Linked DNA regions of Oryzias latipes. The protein of the gene in region 2 purifies or fractionates together with the protein of the main gene of each other region. This does not show direct contact. Links are inferred from orthologs where the notes say so. Each region holds a gene or a part of one and is shown on either strand. Other genes may lie near its edges.

Region 1 (4,143 bases), on a different chromosome or scaffold from region 2:
CATAAGGAGAATGATGCTTTTGAGGGCGTACCTTCTCCAGTCTAATGATGAGCTTGTTGACTTCAATGACATAGTGATCTATTCTGGCAGCACGATGTTTCTTAAAGATATCCAGGTGACTTCTTGTTGCTCCTATTAGAGTAAACAAAAACAATTCCAACAAATAAAAAACACGAAAAATACATGTGCTGCTCTGATATTAATACTTTCTTACCCAGTTCCTGAGGCTCCCACATATAAGGATCCACTCCACCATAGTAGAAAGACTCATAACTGCCCGTGTCGAGCCTGTCCTCTCCATCTCTCTTTAAAAGTTTATCTTTGGCTTTTTTTGCCTTCTGAACCAAACCTGAATCACACAGAAAGGTAACAAAATATTGTAAATTCACATAAGATATCTTTTTTTTTTTAAAGTATGACAATTGTTAAGGAAAGCTGGATTTTTTCAAATGTTAGATAGAAAGAAACACCAACTCCAAACAGCTACATTTAAGCTTATTAGCTGGATTGTCATATTGCAAAAAAGGGAATTTTATTACGTTTTTTCTTTTTTTCTGAAGCTGAATTCTGACTCGACCCTTACTTTTGAGCTGGCCTCGGACATGCCGGTCATCCCCTGAGTGCTCCTCCTCATAGTGGCCTTGGAGTTGGTAGAAAGACTGCAGGTCCTTCAGGCACAATGGGCAAAGGAAGCCCTCTTTTACTTCACCTGTGCCCTCGAAGGGGGGTGGGTAGCTGGAGGCCATGATGAGAGCTGGAAGCCTTGTTGTTTACCAGAAAGTGAAGGGCGGCATAATGAAGCTTCAACCCGCTGGTCACAATGTGTACAATGTTAGCCTCCTTAGCTTCATGATTCCTGAAAAATGTAAAGAGTGAACAGAAAGACAAAGCAGACTGAGGTTACACATAACTTCAGGCTTAATTGTGAAATCTCAGATATTTACAGTTAGGACTGAAAGTGGTTTTAGCTTAGTCAAAAAACAAAAATTAATGTAAAAAAGCGTTTAATTGCAATACTGTAAAAAGTCATTGTAATAACAAAGTCACCCTTATCCAACTGAAATGAGAGCTGCAATAGGAGGGCCACTGACTGCAAAAAAGATCCCAACTGATGACTATGAAAGGTTGAAGAGGTTTAAAGGCAGTGGCTCATATTAACTACCCTTGCACTAATCATTTGTGTACAATCATCAGGAGTGCACAACCGTCACAAAGCCCTCTTCTCTGTCGGTAACACAAAGCTACAAGCCTGGCCGCACTGCTCCTAGCATGTGTCTCTTAGCAGCCGGACACACGGAGAAAGCAGTGACGTCATCGCCCCGCCTCCCCTCTGGAAATGCTAAGTCGAATTGAATTATGCGACAGTATTCGCAGGGTGGATGTTAAAATGAAAATGCAATCCCCTCTTTGCATTTTCGTTTTAATTACGACACAGAATAACCGGTTTTTAAGTAGAAAATGAAAAAGCATTTTGAAGTATTGAATTTTCATTTTAATTTGGAGTCATTTGATGCAGTTACATTATGAAAATGAAAAAGCATTTCTGTTAATCCATTTTAATTCTCAAATTAGACATTTCTAAATGAATTTTGCTACACATTTACCAGAGAACCTTTTGAAAATGAGATGTCAAATACCATTTACATTATCATTTTAATTAAGTGACAGAAAAAGCGGTGTTGAAGAAGAAAAGGAAAAAGCATTTTGAAGGATTGCTTTTTCATTTTAATTTTGAGTCAAAACATGCAGTTACATTTTGAAAATGAAAAAGCATTTCTGGTTTTGACTTTCATTTTTAATTATGCTACAAAATCGCTTCCATAATGTACAACAAACGTGTGAATGCATAGGGGAAAGAAAGACAGAAAAAAATTCAAATTCACAGAATTTATGTAGAGCCATAGTGCATCACATGACAAAACAAAAATTAACAAGGAGCCACAGAGATGTTGTTTTTTTAAGTACCTTTTTAACAATGAAATGAGTCGAAGCAGCCAGTTTTGTTGTCATTTGATTGATGTTACCATATTGCATTGGTTAAGTGTATTAGGTTTGGGGTTTGATCATTTCCTTTATGAATATGAAATGTCCCCAATAATAAAGTTAGTTGTCTTTTTAAACTAAAGTTCTGGTCCATTTCGTCATTATAACAGCCCGATTTATGCTCTGATAATGATTCATGTTTGTAATGGACGCTCTTTGATTACGTTTATTTACAGGGACTGAGATGAGCCCAAAAATCCCATCGGTCCATTTCTAATATTTATAACCAGAAGATTGTTTTAAAAATTAAATTCTGCAACTTTGAGAAAAAACGTTTTTCTTTAAATTACTATAACAAAGCATTTTTTATATTCAGAATAAAAACTTAAAATCTTGCTACACGGAAAGTTACAGCTGTGCTAGCAAGCATCCCTGTTTGACATTTCATATTAAGGTTTGCTTTAGTCTAAGGCGCGAAACGGAGGGAATTGCCAGAAGGAAAAGATCCGTGTTTTCAAATACAATGCGTTGAGTTAAAAGCAAAATTTTATACCGCTATTCCAAGCAACGAAGGAACGGTTTAGCCGTAAATGATGCTAGCATATAATGAGGGTTCGCAATCTTTACCGCTATTTTCCCTCTAATTTGCAGGCAGATCCAACAAAAACTTCATAACTAGATAAACATATAATCATATACCTTCCCCTCCAGACGAAGAAGAGTTCATATGCTGAAGTGTATCCGACAATAAGTCTGCTGTTGACAATTTTTGACAGCTCCAAAGCAGCAGATGCAGTGGCTCTGCCTTGTCATGTGATTAGTTGAAGATCTAAGGGATGATGAGAGGGACAAAAAGCACAGAAAAAACGCGAACTTACCTTTGGCAGCAGTCCAATTTCGGTTTAATGAATTCACTAAAACACACGACAAGTAAGGTAATTTTTCAGTTATTTAAATAGTCCTATCAGAAATAACATATATCTATAGTGAGTCAGAAATTATAGTTGAGGAAGAAAATGAAAATGGTTATCTGAAGTTAATTAATGTATGGACTAATATGTTAGCTAATCTTCATCGTGGAAATTTAGCAAGCTGATAAAAAATGCACTATATTAAACGGAAAATATAGCTATTCTTAATAGTCTTCATAGTAGTTAAAAAAAAAGTTTTGACATATACTTTTAATGTAACGCCCATTGACAGAAATTAAGGATAACTCCCCAAGGCTTTTCATTGGGCTTTGTAACCATTTGTAATTCTGTGAAATGTCGCCACCTATAGGTCACCCTCTGTAAACTCTGTGATTAATTAGCATATTGATTTAGAGACAGCTCGTGCCGATCCGAGCTAATTAAAAGGCTCAGTGGATGTCTGACACTGCCCATCAGCGGCCTTACCTCGTAATCATACTGGAAAAATATCAATTAGGAAAGTTATTTGCAGGCATAAATATAAAATCCAAAGATTAATGCTTTCAACCATTTTTATTTTTTCATTAAGTCATGACGTAATGCAGACAATTGTTGAGCAAGACATGTTATTTGCTGTGGTAGTCTTTATAATTAACTTGGATACAAAAGAATAAAACACACAAAAAAGTCAATGAAGGGATTTTCTGGCTTGAAACGAAATCAATTTTACTTTATTTCATCCTCACAGTGTGCCACACCTACGAGCCTGTCGCCTCACAGAGGGAACAGTAATGCTTTTAAAACTTATTGCAAGCATGAACAATCTAAAGAACAGAGTAGCCTACATATTTAGTAGATCTATTAATGATAAATAACTAATATATCTAAATATGGAAAAAACCTTTCGGAAAACTGTACAGAAAAGTTTAGAGAATTACGCACAAGCGCCGTAAAGAGCATTTCAGAAAAATACTTTGCGTTGAAGAAACAATATCTGTCTGCCAACGATAGTGGCACCAAAATAAAATAAAAAGGCTATCGTTTTTTGTTTTATTTTTGTAATTTATTATAGTGGCTTTATTTTTTACATCTATTTGTTTACAGGGAAGCAGTGCGCGCAGACCTTAACAGCATACACTATTCGCTATCCACTGCATCCTCCTCATTCTCTTTCAGTGCAAACCTTTTACCCGGGTGCTGTCTCTTCTCCTCCTCATGAACCTCCTTAATGTTGTCTAAAAAATCGAGC
Region 2 (3,513 bases):
AACACGGAAACGGGGTCAGCGGATGCGGTCCGGATGCATCACAGCGATGCCCGACCGTTCACACGCATGAAGGCGGGCGGAGGGAGCCAGGCTGAGCGTCCAACGCAGGAGAAATGGATGTAGAGGAAACTGGGGTGGGGGGCGCTGTTTAGCGCCTGTTGCTATGGCGACCGGCCACCTGTGATCTGTCGCTACCACTGCTCTGACCCGTCGCCAACATCACCTCCTCCAGAAAGCTGAATGAGAACAAAAGGAAAGAGAGAATTTATGTTTAAACAAAAAAACTTATTTTTTGAGTCACTAATTAACCAACAACTCCAATAATGTTTCTATTTAGCTGCTGCTAGAAAACCCACGATCCTATAGCGTTCCAAGGCCGTAAGCACGTCAAATGTTAAAGGATAAAGTGAACAAACACACGGTGCATTACAAAAAACACATACGTTTGTGTAAAACGCCCCATTTCCTGTTGGCAGCAGACAAACTCTGAGTGGATGATTAACAGACGCCAACAAGGTTGTTGCCCTTTGGATGGCTTCTCCAGTCAAACTCAAGCCAATTTTTCTTTTTTATTATATCAAATGTGATCATTAAATCAAATCAATGGAAGGAGGTTTGTTGTAACCAGAAGGGGTTACTGAGGAGATGAAGAATGTGTGCTCAGCGTGGCGGTCTGACACCTCTTCGTGTTCTGGATGGTACTTCCTCCCAGGACGATGCGGACGCCGGGGGTGTTGCGGTTTAGGTTGTAAACAGTCAGAGCTTCTTCATACGTGGCTCCACCGATTATAAACACCATGATGTCTTGTGGCCTGGAACACAAAACACAAATGTTGGTGCTTTAAAGAGCCATGAAGAAAAAAAAAAAATCAACTTTTTCCACTGAGTTCTAATGCTGATTCGAAATTTTAATCCATTCACACATTTCTGAGTATTCTTCTAAAAAACCTGCTCTTTGAGCAGCAGCCACTCCCAACCCGTGAGTGGGTCCTCACATTGTGACATCACAAAGTGAGGAACAGCCCCTTCCAGGAAGTGTCTGGAAGCCCCGCCCCCAGCATAACACCCACTTTCTCATTGAGGTAGCGGTGATCGGCTTTCAGTTTATGAGCACAATATCCATATTGCAAAAGTCTGGACGTTTATTTGTTTTTGTGGGCAAAATGCAGACACAGAGCTCAGGCCGAGGTTGACGTCATGAAGTGGGCGGGACCCACAAGGAGAGAAAAGGCGGAGCCTCAGAGATTGAGTTGTCTTACTTCCAGGCTAAGAAAATGAGCTGCGAAAATAACAAATATTTCTTTATATGTTATTTGATATATCATATGATATGATATATGTTATATCATATGTTTTCACATATTTATGAATATAATTTACTCTAACAAGCTTAGAGAAGCATGACCTTTAACTTTACACGCCGTTTTTTCAGAGTCGCCTGCAAACGCGACTGGAAATCTTTGCCAAAACTGCGAGATGCAAACTTAAAAAAATAAGACACAAAACAGCGACATCTTCCATTAGAATAAACTACAATTGTCAAAATTTGACTAGCTTAGTGGCTTTGTGGTAGAGTGTCCGCTCAGAAACTGGAAGGTTGTGCGTTCAAATCCCGGACAAGTCAATCCAAAGGCTCTTAAAAATGGGAGCCCTGCTTGACACTCACCATTGAGGGGTTAAATTGGGGGATAAACCACCAAATGGTTTCAGAGTGCAGCTGTGTCTGCAGCTCCCCACTCACATTTTACAAACTTGGCCAAAAAAAGGCCAAAGTTAAAACTCCCAGTTTCAACGCAGACACTCCACCACGAGGACACAGAGTGGCATTTTAGTTAAAAAAAACAAAACAAAAAAACCCCCCGAAAGGTGTGAGTTCTTCCACCCTCAGGTGTGTGTTACCTGTCCCTGAGGCTGCTGGCTCCCAGGTAAGGAAACTGACTGTCTTTGAGTCGACCTTTGATCAGCTGATCCAGCGTGTCATGGAGAAGAGGTTGATGCTGAGTGTAGACGTTCTCAACCCCCTAAAAACACACAACACGGACCAAATAACTCCACCCCTGAAACCTTTTTACAATAAAGCTGGATATTAGAGTCTCATAAAGGGACAAAACTCGGTTGATGTTTTATTTCGAAAAAGGAACTTCCTGTTTTCAATCTAAAATTAACTTTTACTAACTAATATCTATAAATATCTTTAGCAGTGACAGCTTTCATGTGACGGTCTGGTTGCATAGACTCATTCATACATACATACATACATTCATATCCTATTTTGGAGAATCCTATCTCATTAGCATGATCCAAACTTTGCCTAAAAAACACATTGTATATAACTGAGTCCGTGTTTTCTGCCCTGTAGTTCAACATCCTTCCACTAGGGGCAGTAGAAGGTCTTTTTTTTAAACAACTGCTTCCATGAAATCTCAGACATTTTCGGCGGGAAATGTTTAGCAAATTTTCTAAACTGTACGCTGAGAAAAACTCGACTGCGGTTATTCATATTTTCAAATGACAATTTGCTGTGTAAAAGAATGCAAAATTTCTTGATAATTTATTCTTTATAATGCAGTTACACCACAGTAAAAATGTGTGGATCAAATTAAAGCCAGTGGGTAAATAAGATGTTTTTGTCAATATTATTGTATCTTAAACTAACATTGTTGTGACCAAAACCTAACAAATCACCAAAAATATCATCATCGATACTATCTAAGTAATTACTATCAAATTATTAAAATTTGTGGATTGTAATTTTCATGAATGGGCTTAAATTTACTCTTAAATAATAAAAAATTGAATTTTCTGTCAATTCTTTAGTGGGCTTTAGAGGGTGCTCTTTCAGGACGTTATTAATGTAAAAACGTGAGGTGAGCTAAAGTTTGAAACGACAAAATTGGCAGACTTTGAGGCCTAAAACTGACAAGAATTTTTCCTCCTAAAAAACAAGCCCCTATTATCAACACTCCACCTCCATGCTTAAAGGTTTCCACAGTCCCTGTTCTCATTTTTCCCCTTGTTTTATCAACAAACAAATTGGCTTAACTCCACTTTAATCTCCATGTAAAACTTTATTTCTATAATTTCTAGTAAGTGAAATTTCTCCAGCGCAAGTTCCATATTTGGTTAGTCGTTTTTTAAAACATACAGCGATGACCTTTAGTTATCCGGCTAAGTTGACTGTGTGAAGGGTCAGGCCGAGCTTGTAGATGTTTTGAAATCACCGTCCTACAGATAAACGTACAGGAACTCCTAGAGGACATTTCTTATCGTTTTCACTCTCACTACGTTTGCACATTATAACCAGGCGTGCATCGATCAGATTGTAGTCAGAATAGCTGAGTTCTAGCAACAACAAAAGTCTAATTGGACGGTTTTTCACCTGTTCTTCTAGACAGGAGAATGAAAACGTTCCTATAAACTTTAAAAAAACAGCACTCTCTGTCAATCTTCAGGTAGATCTATTTCGTCGTGTTTCATTTTTTCCTGTTAGGTGCTGAAAATGATGTAAAAGCC

Evidence for each region. The genes of interacting proteins can lie anywhere in the genome.
Region 1: the proteins of vps45 (region 2) and rbsn purify together in Homo sapiens (affinity purification with mass spectrometry; 4 studies listed by BioGRID and IntAct, counting the BioPlex papers as one, with this or other methods). This does not show direct contact. The link is inferred for Oryzias latipes from reciprocal best matches to the Homo sapiens genes VPS45 and RBSN.

What each region holds. Positions count from the first base shown.
Region 1 is NC_019865.2:17,024,991-17,029,133, forward strand, and holds the start of rbsn (rabenosyn-5), read right to left. Parts: upstream 2,809-4,143; 5' UTR 2,683-2,808; intron 857-2,682; 5' UTR 747-856; coding exon 584-746; intron 350-583; coding exon 215-349; intron 133-214; coding exon 32-132; intron 1-31. Other genes in the region: trh (thyrotropin releasing hormone precursor), read right to left, coding at 4,032-4,143. UniProt on the Homo sapiens protein: Rab4/Rab5 effector protein acting in early endocytic membrane fusion and membrane trafficking of recycling endosomes. Required for endosome fusion either homotypically or with clathrin coated vesicles.
Region 2 is NC_019869.2:4,525,077-4,528,589, forward strand, and holds part of vps45 (vacuolar protein sorting-associated protein 45), read right to left. Parts: intron 2,022-3,513; coding exon 1,900-2,021; intron 813-1,899; coding exon 681-812; intron 237-680; coding exon 149-236; 3' UTR 1-148. UniProt on the Homo sapiens protein: May play a role in vesicle-mediated protein trafficking from the Golgi stack through the trans-Golgi network.